3 linked regions of the Arabidopsis thaliana genome follow. The protein of the gene in region 2 interacts with the protein of the main gene of each other region in a biochemical or structural test. Each region holds a gene or a part of one and is shown on either strand. Other genes may lie near its edges.

The links.
Region 1: the proteins of RABA4B (region 2) and PI-4KBETA1 form a complex in vitro, tested with the Arabidopsis thaliana proteins (one study listed by BioGRID).
Region 3: the proteins of RABA4B (region 2) and PUB13 interact in far-western blotting, tested with the Arabidopsis thaliana proteins (one study listed by BioGRID).

What each region holds. Positions count from the first base shown.
Region 1 is NC_003076.8:25,641,017-25,646,312, forward strand, and holds the start of PI-4KBETA1 (phosphatidylinositol 4-OH kinase beta1), read right to left. Parts: upstream 3,463-5,296; 5' UTR 2,887-3,462; coding exon 1,330-2,886; intron 1,035-1,329; coding exon 843-1,034; intron 748-842; coding exon 699-747; intron 224-698; coding exon 91-223; intron 1-90. Other genes in the region: XYP1 (Bifunctional inhibitor/lipid-transfer protein/seed storage 2S albumin superfamily protein), read right to left, coding at 4,459-4,613, 4,985-5,011, 5,256-5,296. UniProt on the Arabidopsis thaliana protein: Acts on phosphatidylinositol (PtdIns) in the first committed step in the production of the second messenger inositol-1,4,5-trisphosphate. Necessary for proper organization of the trans-Golgi network (TGN) and post-Golgi secretion in root hairs.
Region 2 is NC_003075.7:18,541,021-18,548,078, reverse strand, and holds RABA4B (RAB GTPase homolog A4B), read right to left. Parts: upstream 5,529-7,058; 5' UTR 5,358-5,528; coding exon 5,125-5,357; intron 4,742-5,124; coding exon 4,300-4,741; 3' UTR 4,101-4,299; downstream 1-4,100. Other genes in the region: AT4G40000 (S-adenosyl-L-methionine-dependent methyltransferases superfamily protein), read left to right, coding at 636-800, 879-967, 1,055-1,121, 1,194-1,309, 1,376-1,442, 1,521-1,569, 1,653-1,738, 1,819-2,075 and 7 more; DHS1 (3-deoxy-D-arabino-heptulosonate 7-phosphate synthase 1), read right to left, coding at 6,247-6,498, 6,584-6,829. UniProt on the Arabidopsis thaliana protein: Regulator of membrane trafficking. May be required for secretion of cell wall components in cells.
Region 3 is NC_003074.8:17,122,769-17,128,495, reverse strand, and holds PUB13 (plant U-box 13), read left to right. Parts: upstream 1-1,598; 5' UTR 1,599-1,956; coding exon 1,957-2,226; intron 2,227-2,494; coding exon 2,495-2,611; intron 2,612-2,704; coding exon 2,705-3,154; intron 3,155-3,244; coding exon 3,245-4,390; 3' UTR 4,391-4,765; downstream 4,766-5,727. UniProt on the Arabidopsis thaliana protein: Functions as an E3 ubiquitin ligase.

The sequences.
Region 1 (5,296 bases), on a different chromosome or scaffold from region 2:
GAGAGTTTTATCATGAAAAGTTTCACACTTCGTATGGTTAATGGGATATAAAAAAGAAGGTAACTTCCTATTAAAAGAAGTAGATTTTACCTGGGTGTTTCTGCTTTCAAAACTTCTACGGAGATCATGTATGGCGCCTTTTCCCTAGAATTCAAAAGAATGCATTCGTCTTCAGGAATATGGACCACACGAAAAACTCCTCTCCCCATTGGAAAACAAATTCCTGGAAGGTTATTTGAATTTAAATTATGAATAGAAATTCAATTTGATAACAAAAACATTTACCACAACAGAAACAATGTTGACGAAATATAAAATAAAGAATTCAATAATCCTTAAAAACGCGGAGGTTTAGATGCCAAAAAGATTGGACCAGATAATTCTCTCAAGAAAGAAACACAAGTCCAAGGAAATCCTATACAAGAGAGGAAAATAAGTGATAAAAGAGCAAGGATGGAAAAACATAGATTCTTCAAACAAGAGTGGAAATAAATATGATATAACGGACATAATACTAATTTAAGACAAGCAACACGATGAGCACTCAGAAACTTTAACAGGGCATGAAACGTTCACATACTATTTCAGAGAAAAGCATACATGGCCTATAGAATATATACCGGCTCAATATATTTGAGCTACACATATAAAGTAGACCTCCAAATAATAACTCTTAAAATATAATTTTAGAAAAATACCTCCAGTGATTTCAGCTTCCGATAAATGAAAATTGATCTCTGCAAGAGACTAAAACCAAACAAAAGAAATATAAAATTTAGTCAGTTGCTACAAAGGTAGAATTTGACATAAATTTAATTATCAATAAGAAAAGTCAGTTTCACCTCCCGAAGACCAATCTTCCGATCTTCGATGGGAAAGATATCTACCAAACCATATGACGTTTCACATAACGCTTGTACAAACTCCAACGACTCGTGGTAAGCCCCTTTCCTGAATTGTGATGCAGTATTGTTTGGTAGCGGGGGCTTACCAGATGGAGTATCATCCCGCTGTTTAGGTGAGCCTGGCCGTTTCTGCAATGGTTATAATAAGAAACATTGGTATGAGATAATCAAGCTCATATGAAAGAAAAAAAGTCTGGCATAGATAAATAATCAATTGAAGTCGAACAACCACCCTGTTTCAGCCAACATTTGTGTCAAGTAAAATTCAAAAGAAGGAAAGACATATGATTGTATCCTACAAGAATCTTGATAAATGACTCTGAAGATGTGGATCAAATGAAAACTGAATGTCAAAACAGTGCAAATGCAACCAGTATATGCAATAAGACAGAAACACAAAAGACCAAGTCAAACGAGAACAAACCTCCTTGTGTTTCTTTGATCCAAACAGTTCAGAATCTTCAACAGATTGGTCACGATCTCTGAACAACTTGCGGAAAAAGTTTTCTGTCCCAGGACTGCTTTCAACTAAGCCATTGCTGCTATTTTCATTTTCTGAAGTAGGTTTTGCATCTTCGGGATGTATACGGAATAATCTTTTGAAAAGAGAAAATTCTGGAGATTCATCACCCTCACTTTCATTCCCGTCATCAACCTTGACAATGTCTTTCTTGTCATCAGATTTTTCCTTAAAGAATTTTTTGAAAAACCCCTCCCTCTCATCCTCTTCACCAGATTTCTTATCGGCATACACTGTTCCATTGGCTTCATTCTTTTCACTACCATGTCTTTTGTCATCATTTTTTTCCCTGAAAAGTTTCTTAAGGAACCCATCTTTGTCCTCATCATCCACTTCTTTAGGAACTTTATCATCTTCAGGTTTGCTGTCACGGAATAATTTCTTAAAAAAACCTTCTGAGTTTGGGTTTGACTCCTCGTCCTCGTTTTTACTCTCCCGTAACAATCTCTTGAAGAAACTGTCTGAATTTGCACCCAATTCCTCTTCATCTCCCTTATTATCTCGTAACAACCTTTTAAACAGCCCATCTGAACTCGATGTCAATTCCTCGCTTTCTCCTTTACTACTCAAGAGCCTCTTGAAGAACCCCTCGGAACTGTTTGTTATGTCCTCATCTTCTGATTTATTGTCTTTCAAAAGGCGCTTAAAGAAACCCTCTGAGTTAGGTATTGGTTCATCACCCTCACCTTTGCTGTCCCTCAAGAGCCTCTTGAAGAATCCTTCCTTTTCACTCTCTTCATCATCTTTGTCAGCTGACTTTCTAAACATTAAAGCATCTCTGACTTTAGGACTTGGGATAAGTTTCTTAAAAATCTTATTGTCCTCAGCAGGTAACTGACTACCATCATCCTGCACGTTGGTCCCTGGCGAAGGTGAGAATGACAAAGACTTCTGGGTGGGAGGAGATAGCTTTAAGGAGAAGAGCTTCTGTTTTGATGACAAAAGTCTATTTAGGACCTGATTCTTGCTCCCTGGGGTTGAGACCTCGTTCTGTGGACGCATGAGAGGAGACCACTCACCCATCAAAGTAGCTGCAATTTGACACTTCTCTTGAATCCTGCTGATGCCTTCATTATCGTCAGCATCCTCCAGCTCAGCCAACAAAAACCAATGCACTTTCAGTGCGATTTTCAGTGACTTTCCACAGATGTCTATAACAAACTTATCAAGCGATGGGCTTGGTTTGTGCACCATCATGTAGCAAATCTGGAAGAGATAACTCTCAATACCTGATAAGGGAAGCGTATACATCCTATTGCATAAGTAATCCCTAACACCAGCATGAGGGTGCTTGTACAGATAACTAACAGCAATCCACTCACAGAAGAAAGCAGAATCGAAAAACCTAATAAGCCAACCATTAGAACCAGTATCGCCGATGATATTACTCTGTGAGGTAATCTCACGAGGTGACTCAGCCGAGTCTCCTCGGACCAAAGATAGAAAGCGTCCCATCGGCATCCTAATCAGCCAAGCATAAAAAGCCCTAGCTCACAGACCCAAATCATCCGTCGAGACAACAGATCCAGGAGACTCTTCCAACAAACCAGATTAACGGAGCCTCTCTCTTCCCCAATAACTAAACCCTAGGATTACCCGTAAAACCTTAACTCAAAAAACCTATCTATAACCACCCAAAGCTCAAAATCTCAATGCCAAATCGACGAAATTTGGCTTTATAATGCTTAACTTTCCTAAATCGCGAAAAAAACACAGAAAATAGAGATTTCTCCGTATCCTACTCACTCCAATCGCCGTAAACCGAAGGCGATCGGAAATTTCTCCAGAATCCAAAACTAAATCTCACGTAGAGAACCAAGCGATGAGCTAATTAATCCCGTTCTTCCTGCTATCCGAGAAATTCTGCTTGTTAAAATTCAGAGCAGAATCAAGTAACAGAATTAGCCGGAGTAGATCGCCGTCGTCTCAGCCGGAAGCAGTTTGTGGTGGAAGATACGGTCGTCGTCCTCGGCTGTTGGTGGCAGACAGAGAGAGAGAGAGAGAGGGGAAAGTAATTATCGTTCGCAATACTTTTAAATTATTTTCATTTTTTTATTAATTTTAATTTTTTGGTTTTTAGTAATTCGTACTATTTAATTATTATTTTGGTTTGGCGAGGGAGGAGATCTAACGTGCGCTGGAAAGTCCACGCGATCATAATAAAGTTGAAAATCCTTGGTGGGAAGTAAACGTGATTTGTCCACAACGGGACACTTGGACAGTTGATTAACTTTTGTTGACAGTTGATTTTTCATTATTTTCTTTCAAAAGATTATTACTATTGAGATTTTGAATTTTGAATCTGATAAGCTAATTACAAGAAGTAATAATCTGATTTTTAAAAAATACGATATATATTTATATCTTTCACGATGCCACGAAACATTTTGTTTCCTTTCACTTTCACGTCTCTAATTTTCTTAACACATGCATTTCCTTTTCAGATGAAGAAATTTTGTACTCGTTTCATAGAACAAGTTGTAATTGGTACTATAGTCAAACTACACTGTAACAAAATATAAATATGATACTCTTGACAAAAAGTTGGGACTTACTTACTGACAATGACGATATTATGAGAAAATTTCATCTACTAAAATGATATCATATGATTTCCTGTATTTTATTACACAGTTTTTATGAGAAAATTAAAACGAAATTAAAGAATTTTGTTGTTAGTCATTGCAATATTACACCATAATTTTCTTAAAAAGAATATATAAATGTTACTTGTAGTATTTCTTTTTTGTATAGTGGACTTTGAGAATGTTTCTGCCTGAGCTTTTGGCGAATATAACTATGAGGGTGTGAGAGAAAACATAGATGAAGGAATAAGCGATAGATCGAATAAAAGGACCAATGTTGTGAGACAAAGTAATAACATAAACTAAAAGAGTAAACGCTAGTAATAGAGAAACCGATATGGTCTAAAAACAGAACACTCCAAAACATACATAGATTAACCCTAATAAAAACCATTAATCAATTTCATACAGCCAAATCTAGCTGGTGAAAAAAGATTCAGGTTTTTTTTTACGCACTAGAGAAGAACAAAACGAACAGTACGGCACTGAGTACAGTTGTGAACGAGGTCGGAATCAAAGAAGATCCATCGTTCCCTGAAGAAGGATTTGGAGCTAGAAATCCGGCTGTCTCAGGTCCAGCAGCAGCTACTCCTGGAGCAAGACCTGATAAAATTAGGTTCCACATTAAGAAATCTCAAAAGCGTAAAACATCTCAACGAGAAATCACATAACTAACATGGAGAAAAAGAGCAGAGATTTCCAATCACTCGAGCAAATTTTTACAAAGAAAATCACAAATAAGGAATTCACACAAATTTTTGTCATGGTTCGTATTAATTATAATTTTTTGTATTGTAGAATCTTAGATAAATCATTTTCACTTTAAGTGAGAACCCAGATGATCAAAGTCAAACAATCGACAATTTTTATCTTTTCAAAATTTTCAAGTGGGAATTTAAAAACACAATAAAGCATTGCATGAGACAAAACTTAAGAGTAAAATTAAAAATCAACCAAGAAGAAAGACAAAATACCTGGAGCAGTACTTGGAGCAACAGACACTGTAAGAACAAAAATAAAATAAAAAAGCATTATAAGTAATTTAATCAACATCAACAACAACAAAAAATAGAATCTTAAAACAGTTTCGAAAAATCTACAAATTATTTTCTTAATTAAACTGAAAAAATTAGAAAAAATGTGGATTTAAGAAACCGCTCTCGAAGATTAAGCATAACAAATTAAGATCTACAAAACCGGAAGAGATCTAAGAAACAAACAAGTTAAGAAATGAATAGATCTTACATCCACAAGTAGCGATAGAAGGAGCGTGAAGCTTGCATGCG
Region 2 (7,058 bases):
CTGTGGATCTGTGCATTTAAGGTAGATCTTCACGATTTTTGCGCATTCAGTGACTAGAAGAGACTCGAGATCTAGTTCTTTGGAGACGTTTGGATTGCAAGTAACCATGTATTGGAGGAACATCATGTAGGTTTTGTAAGCCTCGTTCTCGAAGTTAAGTAGTTGAGGCTCTGTTAGGTTTTGGAGAGACTAGAGAGCATGCTCTCTTGAACTTCCTTCTAAGGACTGTGTCGGTGTTTAGTTGCTGTGCGTGAGACGCAACGCAAGAGAAAATGTCTGCGAGGATATCCACGTGTGATGCGGACAATGAGAACTGTTTTTTTTCTGTAAAAGTCACTCACAACATGTAAAAGAAACAGAGAAGTCAAAAAACAGAGTCATTGGCTTAAAAAGCAAGAAACAGAGAAGTCAAAACGTATTGGGCTTTTCAGTGTTAAGACGGCTGGAAGATATGGTTATCGGCCCAGTCGTAAGCCCAAAGCATGCTTTATGTCGCGTGTCTTATTTATTTATTTTCTTCTCAAAAGCAATGTAAACCAAACCGAAATCAATTTTAGTTTAAAAACCCATAAAACCCATCGGCGCTGTGACGCCTCCGGCGAAAACAAAAAAACTCGGCGACGGTAACAACAAAAATGGGAAGAGGGAGACGACACAGAGGTTCAACTTCGAAGAGAAATCAAATCGAAAATAGCAACGACGACAATGTTCGAAAACCCCTCAAATCCGAAGCTTCCTTTGATTCCAACAACTTGCAAAAGCCCATCTGCTCAAATCTTCATTTTGAGGAGTATTACAAGGTACCTGTATAGAATCAATGACACTTGCATGGATTTGGAAACTTTTCTTCTAATCAACATTGTTGCGGTGTGTATAAGGAACAAAGAATAGTGAAAGCTCAAGAGTGGGATTCGTTTATGGAGTTTCTTCGTAAGCCATTACCTGCTGCTTTCAGAGTTTATTCCAAGTATGTATCCTTACTTCATTTAGTATCCTTCAAAGTATAAGTTTTTTTGTTTGACTAAGTAAGTGGTCTCTGTTTATGATTCTTCAGTGGTCAATTTTGTGATGAGATTCGACTGAAATTGGAGAATGATTTCATGATATCTCTTCAGGCTGAGGTTAATTCATGACTCTTCTCTTTTATAGTCTCTCATTAATAAGAAGCACTCAGATTTGTTTTCCTTACTTAGGCTATAGAGAGTGGTGAATTGGAGGCTATCAAGCCTCTGCCTTGGTATCCTAAGAATCTTGCTTGGCATTCTAATTTTTCACGCAAGGAGATTAGGAAAAACCAGACACTTGAGAGGTACATTTTCATGCCAGTTGCTTCAGAACAAGTATTCAATTCCATTCGCTTACTTGTCTTATTCAGGTTTCATGAGTTTCTTAAGTTAGAAACTGAAGCTGGGAACATGACCAGGCAAGAATCAGTTAGCATGGTATGGTTGTGTTACATTCTTTAATGACATTCATCGGTACATTTTATAGTTTTCGTGGTGACTTTTATGATTACGTAGGTACCTCCTCTCTTCCTTGATGTACATCCAGATCATTTTGTTCTCGACAGTGAGTGAACTGTATTCGACATTATTACAGATGGCTATGGACTTGAGGAGTAATATAGTTAACTGATTCACTTGTCTGAACAGTGTGTGCTGCACCTGGTTCCAAGACATTTCAGCTGCTTGAAATAATACATGAATCATCAGAACCAGGATCTCTACCTAATGGAATGGTTTGTAATACTCTCTCATCTTTACTCATTTTTTTGGTTGATAGATCATGTTTATTTCTAATTTTGTTTGGTTGAATCAGGTGGTGGCGAATGATGTTGATTATAAAAGATCTAATCTTCTTATTCACCAAACGAAAAGAACATGTACGACCAATTTGATGGTCACTAACAACGAAGGTCAACATTTCCCCAGTTGCAACACCAAGAGAACCTTGTCTGTAGCATCTGAGACTAATCCTCATCCCATCGATCAGCTTCTTTTTGATCGTGTCTTATGTGATGTCCCGTGTAGTGGTGATGGTACTCTGCGCAAGGCTCCAGACATATGGCGAAGATGGTTTCTCTATTTATGAGTTTTTAAATTGACATGTGTTGATTCCAATTGCTTCAAGATTCTTACTTGTTTTCCTCGGTTTCTGCACAGGAATTCTGGATCTGGCAATGGACTTCATAGTCTACAGGTTGTGCTTGCCATGAGAGGTAAGCTTTTTTCTCAGATGATCCGAGTCTCAGAATCTTATGTTTTGATTTTTATCTGCATTGTATGGTTTCAGGTTTATCTCTGCTAAAAGTTGGTGGGAGAATGGTATACTCAACCTGCTCAATGAACCCAATTGAAGATGAAGCTGTTGTTGCTGAAGTAATTTGATAGTTTCTTTCTTCTTTCTCCGTTGACCTATTCTTCTGGATACTGATATATTGTTAGTATTCTTCAGATTCTGAGGAGATGTGGATGCTCTGTTGAGCTTGTAGATGTCTCAGATAAGCTTCCAGAACTTATTAGAAGACCAGGTCTTACGAAATGGAAGGTAAAAAATTACCTATTACTTTGAAGTAAGGATGAGTAGTAATGAAGCTTTAATCATGGTTTGTATCTGTGTGGATTCAGGTGCATGACAGAGGTGGCTGGTATAGATCTTACAAAGATGTTCCAAAGTCACAGAGAGACGGAGTTCTTAGGAGCATGTTTCCTTCTGGTAAAAGTGATAAAGACTCATCGGGTGGCAAAAACAGCTATGAAGAAATGGCTTCTATCTCTTCTGATGAATCAGCCGAAGAAGTCTGTGATCTTCCCCTTGAACTTTGTATGAGGATACTGCCTCATGATCAAAACACTGGGGGATTTTTCATTGCAGTCCTTCACAAAGTTTCACCTTTACCAGGTGAATTAGAAGAACTTTCTGTTGCATAACCTCTCTAGTTGATTCCTTAATACGAATTCCGGATCATTTTCTTGCAGACTTTCAGGAGAAAGTAACTCAGAAAAGGAATTTGTCTACTAGAAACAACATCAACTCATCTGAGAAGTCTTCTTCGTATGAAGCAGTATCTGACACTGTGGTTACTAAACCTGAAGAGGGTACAGAGGAAATAGTTTTAGAAGCAACAGTTTCAGAGAATGGCTTTGAGCCGCCGGAGATGGAAAGCACCTGGAATGAAGGTATCGTAGAATTGGCTCAAAAACTTGATGATATAGAAGGCAAGAGAGAAGTACCATCAATGCAAGGGAAGTGGAAAGGCCTTTACCCTGTTGTTTTCTTGAGAGATCAAACAGGGATCAACGGGATCAAGACATTTTACGGCATTAAAGATGAATCGTTTCCGCTGTATGGTCATCTCGTGACTAGAAACAGCGACATAAGCAGCCACGGAAACGTGAAAAGGATTTACTATGTTTCGAAAGCAGTTAAGAATGTTCTTGAGCTTAATTTTGCAGTTGGGAAGCCGCTCAAGATCTCCTCTGTTGGCCTCAAGATGTTTGTAAGTACAATATAGTTTCATCCCTCTCTCTCTCTTGATCAAATACAAATATAGCAGAGGCGGTATTTATTAACTAACCAAAAACGCAGGAGAAACAATCTGCAAAAGAATGTGAAGCCAACTGTTGCTCATTCCGAATAACGTCAGAGGGATTGCCTGTGATCCTTCCGTACATGACCAAGCAAATACTTTATGCAACAATGGCGGATTTCAAGAATCTCCTGCAACACAAATCAATCAAGTTTCTAGATTTCATACATCCACAGATTGGTGAGAAAGCAGCAGAACTAGCCTTGGGATCTTGCGTTATGGTTCTCGTTGATGGTGTGTATCGGTTTTATATAAGATACTTTTGGTTGGTCATGTGGGATATGATTTTAACTGTTTGTGCTTCCTACAGATTCTCAGCTCGGGTCAGAACAATTCAAAGTGAATTCATCAACAATAGCCATTGGATGCTGGAAGGGCAAGGCTAGCTTAACCGTTATGGTCACAACAGTCGATTGTCACCAACTTATCCAGAGGCTTTCTGATAGAAGTAAAGAAAAAGAAAAAGCTGAGAACTGTTTCAAGACTGCTGAGACAGCTTGAAGCTGACGTTAACTCTCAAAGACTGTTTGTTTCATATTTCATTCAAAAGCTATTTGTTCCAATACTTTCTATCGGTGTCCAATTGCACACCAATGTTTAATGAACTAGCAAACAAGCCAGATTCGAAAAAGAATATACAATGAAAGTAGCATTCTCTATCACAAATTTCAGGAGGAAAAAAAATGAATCTTGCTTGAGTAGGAGACAGATCAAGAAGAAGTACAACAAGTGCTGGTCTTAGCGGGAATCTCCTGTCCAGAACCTGGGATGAGAATCTTCTTACCAGCCAATGAACCGGGGTTATTTGAGTCGCCTTCAGATGCAAGATTCTTCTTGTTCACGGTATTGTATATCTGAGTCATTAGAGTGTTGAAGGAGTTTTCGACATTGGTTGCGTTTAAAGCAGAGGTCTCGAGGAAAAAGAGTCCTTCCTTCTCAGCAAACTCTTTAGCGTCTTCAGTGGGAACAGCTCTTTGATCTTCTAGATCAGACTTGTTTCCAATAAGGATGATGACAATGTTCTTATCAGCGTGCGCCCTCAGTTCTTCAAGCCAACGCGGAATATGCTCAAAGGTCTCACGTTTCGTCATATCATAAACCAGCATTGCGCCAACTGCTCCTCTGTAGTATGCGCTTGTAACGGCTCTGTATCTGCTAAGAGCAACAAAAGCAAAGTCACGAAACGAAAGACCGATTCCAAATCTTCTGTTCCAAATTGATTCAAATCAGCTAAAAATCACACAAAATCTCGAACCTACACATGATGCTGATTAAAATTGAGATGGAGCATTATTCCTACACATGATTTTCCAGATTCCCTTTATCGTTCGATCGGATAAAACACTAAATACAAGTATACATTTCGATGATAACAAATTCAGGATCTGGTCAAGATAAAGTAGATGTACAAAATAGGAAACAAATCTATGCAACATCTTCTAGTCAAACCAAGTCGCTTTCATGGAAACATTTACAGATCCAGTAAAATTCTTCGGATTAAGATTCCAAAACGCAGAGAATCTTAGAAATCGTACCTTTCCTGACCAGCGGTATCCCAGATCTGAGCCTTAATGCTTTTTTGTTCAATGGAGAGGGTACGAGTTTGGAACTCGACGCCGATGGTGGCTTTAGAATCCATGCTGAATTCGTCTCTAGCGAATCGAGCAAGTAGTTGCGATTTCCCAACAGCCGAATCTCCGATTAGAACAACTTTGAAGACGTAATCAACTTTCCCCGATGCGCCGCCGTATCCGCCTCCTCCGGCCATCTTCACGCCAAACTATTGAAACACTTCTCTCTGTCTCTCTCTCTCTCTCTCTCTCTCTCTCTCAGGTTTTAGAGATCGGAAGCGTGGTTACAGTTTTGTGCTGTAGCTGTTAACTGGTGAGAGCGACAGAGGAATTGTAGAGAAAATTAAAAAGCTAGTTGGCTGATTATTGACTGCTTGATTTAAATTGTTGTGTTATTGTATGATCTAGTGTGTGAGAGTCTTTGGTAATTGAGAGTGACTATGAGCCAAGATCATGACACGTGGAATAAAGAGAAGTGTAGAACACGTGATGGAAATCGAGACGAAGTATGGTTGTTGGGAGCACCAGAAGAGAGTAAAGAGGTACGTAGGGGATCATATTTTGGGTTAAGTGAGCGGGACACGATATTGATTAGTGGGGGGTCCCAAAACCGTCGGCGTCGGATTGTTTATTTACGACGAAACTCAGAAGAAAAAAAAAGATATTATGAAAAATGGCCCATGCAGGTTTCGAACCTGCGACCTTCGCGTTATTAGCACGACGCTCTAACCAACTGAGCTAATGGGCCATTTTGGAAGATCGTTTTCTAAAGATTTGTTCATTTCTAGTTTACGAATAGCCGAAAGACGAAGATCAATCTTTAGTACTAACTAGAAGACAAGTTTCATGTTCGTGTAGATATGTAAAAAGAAATATACACTAGTGTAAGTGACACGGTTTGACATTAAAGTTAACATAAAGAACAATGACATGACATGGTCTGTCCACAGCAGAAACAGGTTTACTCCTCCTAGAGAGGCTTTTGGGGCTTTTAACTTAGGTCATAAAGACACCAACTCACAGTCACAGGACAAAGAGAAAAGATTTGTTTGGAATCAAAAAGTGTATAAAAGGGAAGAACCGGACTCAAGACACACGCTGGCTACCCGTTCTTCTCTTCCTGAGCCGTTCTGCAACAATGAAGGCAAGTTCAAGAGACTGTGACGCGTTCAGCCTTGGGTCACAGTGTGTGTGGTAGCGAGAACTGAGGTCATCGTAGGTCACAGTGCGGGACCCTCCAATGCATTCTGTCACGTTCTGACCTGTCATCTCGAGATGGATACCGCCCGCGTGGCTTCCTTCTTGCTCGTGCACATCAAGGAATGCTCGGACTTCAGCCTGTAGAAAAAGACAGGAAGTTTAAATCTCTGTTATGGCAAATCTATGTTACGCTTATGAGAGGTTTAGCTTATAAAGTGTGTACCAGTATTGAGTCAAAGGCACGTGTTTTAAGACCGCAAGGTGCTTTGATGGTGTTTCCATGCATTGGATCGCAGACCCATGTCACAATCTGGCCTGATCTGCGGACTGCTCTGATCAGGTGGGGAAGCTTAACTCTCATGTTCTCGGCACCCATTCTCACAATTACAGTGATTCTTCCAGGCTTGTTATTAGGATTCAGGATTTCTACTAGCTTAACCAGCTCAAAGGGATCCATTTTGTTGCTCACCTGCAACAAGAGTTTTGGTTATTCAATCGATTCCGCTTAAAACTCAACTTAATAAACTCTCGTTATTCAGTGGCAAATCAAACCAGCTACCAGTCTCTCACTGAAGAAAAGACAATCAAAATCAACCGTCTGATTTGCAAGATAAGAGAAGAAAAAAACAAAAAATGCTACGAGACCAAGCATAAACCTCTCAAATGTTACTCTGTTTTGCTTTATCATAAACCAAAAG
Region 3 (5,727 bases), on a different chromosome or scaffold from region 2:
CCAATCTCATAACTAAATCTAAAACAATAAAATGTAACCATTAAATCTAATTCGTTACGTATACCATAATCAAACGCATTAGCGTTACATTTATATTGGTTTTGCCTCCTTGTGATCAAAATTTTGACATCAAATAAACAAAAAAAATAACATGTACCTGATGAATTTACGTAGATCTAGAAGAAAAGAAAGAGGTTGTGGAATCGTGCCCTGAAATTGGGTTTCAAAAATTTCTGGAAAACAGAAGCAACTTTGGCCCTTAATATCGTTCATACACGGGTCTGAGCCGTTAGTTTTCTTCATTGAGACCAATATCTCAGCCTCTATAGACACGTGTCCATCTATTTTTAGGTTGGAGAATTAAGAAAACACCAGCCTAACCTGAAAATACGGTTTAGGCTCTGTTTTACCGGAAGAATCGGGTCACCGAACAAGCATGAGTGGTAATGAGCCCATTTGGGCCTAAGAAAAAGGTTAAAAGGCCATTTTCTTTAGATTATTCAATTTTAGACAATCAGTGAAATTTCAGTAACATTTCCTTCTAGTTTCTAGTAATTTATGTGTTCAACCGAAATTTCAGTGCTATGTAAAAGAGTGCTATCCAAACTATAATTAAGAAAAAGGGTAAAAGATCTTAGTGGGTGAGGTATGGAAATTGCTGAAAAAGTTCTGGGAAGAATGAGAGTAATGATGATAACGGTAATTGACAAATGTGATAATGATGATAGGGATATGTGCAAGTAAAATAATCAAGCATGTGCATAAGATTCATTATTTGACATGAGACTTTATTATGTGTTTTTGCTTATTATAGTTTCTTACAAAACAAATGAAGAAAGTAGTGAACAACATACAACAATACTAAATAACAGTGTGATTGTTGAAGAAATAGTTTCCATTTAATATTTAAAACTAGGCTTCCAAGGCCTTGACAAATTTCATTAGAGAAGGATTTATTTTTAATTAGTGGAATATATGATCAAGAAAATAAATTGACATTTTGGTATAGATTAGGGACATTGGAGACAGAGGGGTTGATTTTGAGATTGAATTTTGACTTTTCTGTGTATTTAGCTTTTAGCCACCAATTAAAGCAAACATTCATTCATTTTGTCATGTTGATCGCTGCACTTATCTAACTAGAGTATTATTCCCTTTTCGAGGTACCCAGAGGATTAAGCATTTTTTTTAAAAAAAGAGCCTAATACTTTACCTAATAACAAGAAACATGTAGAGTAGAAACAAGTAAAAAAAAGTTTAAAAGAAGAAGGATTAGATCAAAAGAAATAACTATTTTAGGATAATTTCGTTGTCCAGTTGAACTATTTTTAATTTTTCTTTTTAAAATATTTTCTTGCATGATTAGAGAGATAGAGGTATAAAACCTTTTTAATTCTTCAATTATCACTAAATCCAAAATTATAAATGCATTAACAATTTTGTTCTTCTATGACACCCCAAAAATGTCACCAACTACAGCAAAAAAGTGACCACTATATCCGTAAAAATTCGTATATTCAATCCGTGAAAATATAATAGTTGAAAAATATTCAAAATTTCACAAGAAAATTAGTAATTTTATAGAGAAATAATTTAAATGATAATATAATATATTAATGTAAAAAATAAAACAAACACAATCGTAACCGGTCCCGCGGCTTCGTGGTCGAATTTACCTTTGTTCCGGTTTAGTTCTTAAGCCGAGAGAATCGTACAAGTTGCAATAAGCTAAAGCCGTCAGCTAAACGACGCCGTTTTCGAAAAGTCCTCGTCTTCTCTCTCACACAATCTCTCTTTCTCAGAAATCTCTCTCTTTCGCACTTTCTGCAAATGGTTCTCTTCTTCCTTTAAGCTCAATCTCGCCACTGGAGTCTCAATCGGGAAAGATCTCCATCTTCTCCGGAGGAAAAACGGATCCGTAAATCGTGAATTTTTAAACAGAGAAGAATCAATTCAATGGAGGAAGAGAAAGCTTCTGCTGCACAGAGCTTAATCGATGTAGTTAACGAGATTGCTGCGATTTCTGATTATCGTATAACAGTGAAGAAGCTTTGTTATAATCTAGCGAGGAGATTAAAGCTGCTTGTTCCTATGTTTGAGGAAATTAGAGAAAGTAACGAACCGATCAGCGAAGATACGTTGAAGACTTTGATGAATTTGAAGGAAGCTATGTGTTCAGCGAAGGATTATCTCAAATTTTGTAGCCAAGGGAGCAAGATTTATCTGGTGCGTTTCTTCTTCGATTTATTAGCATCTATGATTAGATCTGTGTGGTCACTGAGAATTTTTGTTCTCGTTGACGAATTGGTGTTTTCATTGAATGAGAGAGCCACGTGCTTTGTTTTGCTATGGTAGTGTTTGAGTGATATCAATGCTTCTTTGGTATTTGATTAGATGTTAGATTTGGTAGTGGTTGATGTGACTTGATTGATCTATGGAAGTTGTTGAGAATTTGTGCTCTGATACACAAGAGATGTTGTTGTTCTGTGTGTAGGTGATGGAGAGGGAACAAGTGACAAGTAAATTGATGGAGGTGTCTGTTAAGTTAGAACAATCTTTAAGCCAGATTCCATATGAAGAACTCGATATATCGGATGAAGTTAGAGAACAGGTAAATTCTTGAAACCCAAGGCTGGCTAGGCCAGTGTCTGGATCAGTAAAGACGACATGTAGTTGATTCATAGCGTTTTTTTGGTTGTTGTAGGTTGAGCTGGTTCTTAGTCAGTTTCGGCGAGCTAAAGGAAGAGTAGATGTATCAGATGATGAGCTATATGAAGATCTTCAGTCGCTTTGCAACAAAAGTAGTGATGTAGATGCTTATCAGCCTGTGCTAGAGCGGGTTGCGAAGAAGTTACATTTGATGGAGATTCCTGACCTAGCTCAAGAATCAGTGGCTCTGCATGAAATGGTTGCTTCAAGCGGTGGAGATGTTGGTGAAAATATTGAGGAGATGGCAATGGTATTAAAGATGATTAAGGATTTTGTGCAGACGGAGGATGATAATGGCGAGGAGCAGAAAGTAGGAGTTAACTCTAGAAGCAATGGACAGACTTCTACGGCAGCGAGTCAGAAGATACCTGTGATTCCTGATGATTTTCGCTGTCCGATTTCGCTGGAAATGATGAGAGATCCAGTTATTGTTTCATCAGGGCAGGTATAGTTCACTTCAACCTCAGCTTCTTCAAATTTATTTCTGCGATCTCTTAAGATTTAATTATAGAAGCATGTTCTCCTCTATGTATAGACATACGAACGCACATGTATTGAGAAATGGATAGAAGGTGGACACTCGACATGTCCAAAAACACAGCAGGCGCTAACAAGCACAACCCTCACACCAAACTATGTTCTCCGTAGTCTCATAGCTCAGTGGTGCGAGGCCAACGATATTGAGCCTCCAAAGCCTCCGAGCAGTTTAAGACCCAGAAAAGTATCGTCCTTCTCATCTCCCGCAGAAGCGAACAAGATTGAAGATCTTATGTGGAGACTTGCGTACGGAAACCCCGAGGACCAACGATCTGCAGCTGGGGAAATCCGCCTTCTTGCAAAACGAAATGCAGACAACCGCGTGGCCATAGCCGAAGCTGGAGCCATACCTCTTCTCGTAGGTCTCCTCTCAACTCCTGATTCTCGTATTCAAGAACATTCGGTAACAGCTCTTCTAAACCTCTCCATATGTGAGAACAACAAAGGAGCCATTGTTTCAGCTGGAGCTATTCCTGGTATAGTTCAAGTGCTTAAGAAAGGAAGCATGGAGGCCAGAGAGAATGCGGCGGCTACACTTTTCAGTCTATCAGTGATCGATGAAAATAAAGTGACTATCGGTGCCTTAGGAGCAATTCCGCCACTCGTTGTATTACTTAATGAAGGTACACAAAGAGGCAAGAAAGATGCTGCTACTGCACTCTTTAACCTCTGTATATACCAAGGAAACAAAGGAAAAGCTATACGTGCAGGAGTGATTCCCACGTTGACTAGACTCTTGACAGAGCCCGGAAGCGGAATGGTCGATGAGGCACTCGCGATTTTGGCGATTCTCTCTAGCCACCCCGAAGGAAAAGCAATCATAGGATCCTCTGATGCAGTCCCAAGTTTGGTTGAGTTTATCAGAACTGGCTCGCCTAGAAACAGAGAAAACGCAGCTGCTGTTCTAGTCCACCTCTGTTCTGGAGACCCACAACATCTTGTCGAAGCGCAGAAACTCGGCCTTATGGGTCCATTGATAGATTTAGCTGGAAATGGGACGGATAGAGGGAAACGAAAAGCAGCGCAGTTGCTTGAACGCATCAGCCGTCTCGCTGAACAGCAGAAGGAAACGGCTGTGTCACAACCGGAAGAAGAAGCTGAACCAACACATCCAGAATCCACCACAGAAGCTGCAGATACTTAAAGATTGTCTTTGTTTTGGATCCTCGGGTCATCTCTTTCACGTACGTATGTTTATTATTCTCACTTTTTGTTTGTGCTACTCATCCTCCCTCGAGGTAGGATTCACGGTAGACGCGGAAGAGGGAAATGGCCTCCTTCTCCGATCTACTTTTAACTTTATGGTGATATCTTTGTGTGGACAGAGCAATCTGGTCCACAGGAGAGAAAAGCAAATATGCATACATACACGTCAACTTGTATCATTGTAACACTATGTTTGTAATCATTTCCACGAGCTTTTTTTTGTTTTCAATACAAGATCTCTCTGTTCGCTTTCTTAATAGCATTGAGATACTAATTGAATATAATGCAGATTCCCATTTTTCATGAACAGATGCGTAAACTGCTTGTAGAGTCGATAGATTCCATGCATAATGTTTCAATACAAGTATACAAAACTATCAAATAGTAAAATCTCAACCCGTTTTAAAATTTCTTAGAGAATCCATAGAACAAATATGTCTCCAAGCACAAATATAACATGTAATGTGACTCCACTACACTCATCACAAGTAGAGACCATTCCTTCGGATCATAGAGAGAGAGAGAGAGAGAGATAGAACACATCAAATACATTTCCAGTGTTAGATTATTATATATGTCGAACTACTTTACTAGATGTATTGTGCAAATAGATTCAAAAAGGGGTTGTTTAATTAGGGTTTAAGATTTTAGCAAAGTAAGGATATGAGTTTATTGCCCAAATCCAAGGTGTTCGGCTTTAATGTCGAAAACCAGAGATGGAACTATGAGATACTGTTTACAATGCGGTGACCCCTTTTGTAACATCTGCAAAGATGCGTGGCATAGTAACTTGTCGTGCGAAGATTACAAGAGATTGGGTCCAAATCCTACAGAAGATGATATAAAGTTCGAATCTTTAGCAAATCAGAATATGTGGCGTCAATGTGGAAATTGCAACCAAATGATTGAATTTTCTAATGGATGCATCAGAGTAACATGCATGTATCATCATCATCACATATTCACATTCTCTATCTGTTATAATTAATCCTTTTAGAATCTGTTTATGTTTTCACGTAATTAACAGTATCGTAATGTTCATGGTTGATGGATATCATATAGATGTGGCTACAAATTTTGTTACATATGTGGAGCCCAATGGAAGACATCAAGACAGGAGGAAGTTCCCCTCATCGAGAAAGCATGGTTGCGGAGGATGATCGTATGCGTAATTATCTTATGGGCGTTATGAGCGTTTCCGTAGCCACTAGAATGGTTCTACACTTGTGATGAGTGTAGTGGAGTCACTTTAAACGCGGGTTGATTTAATAGATT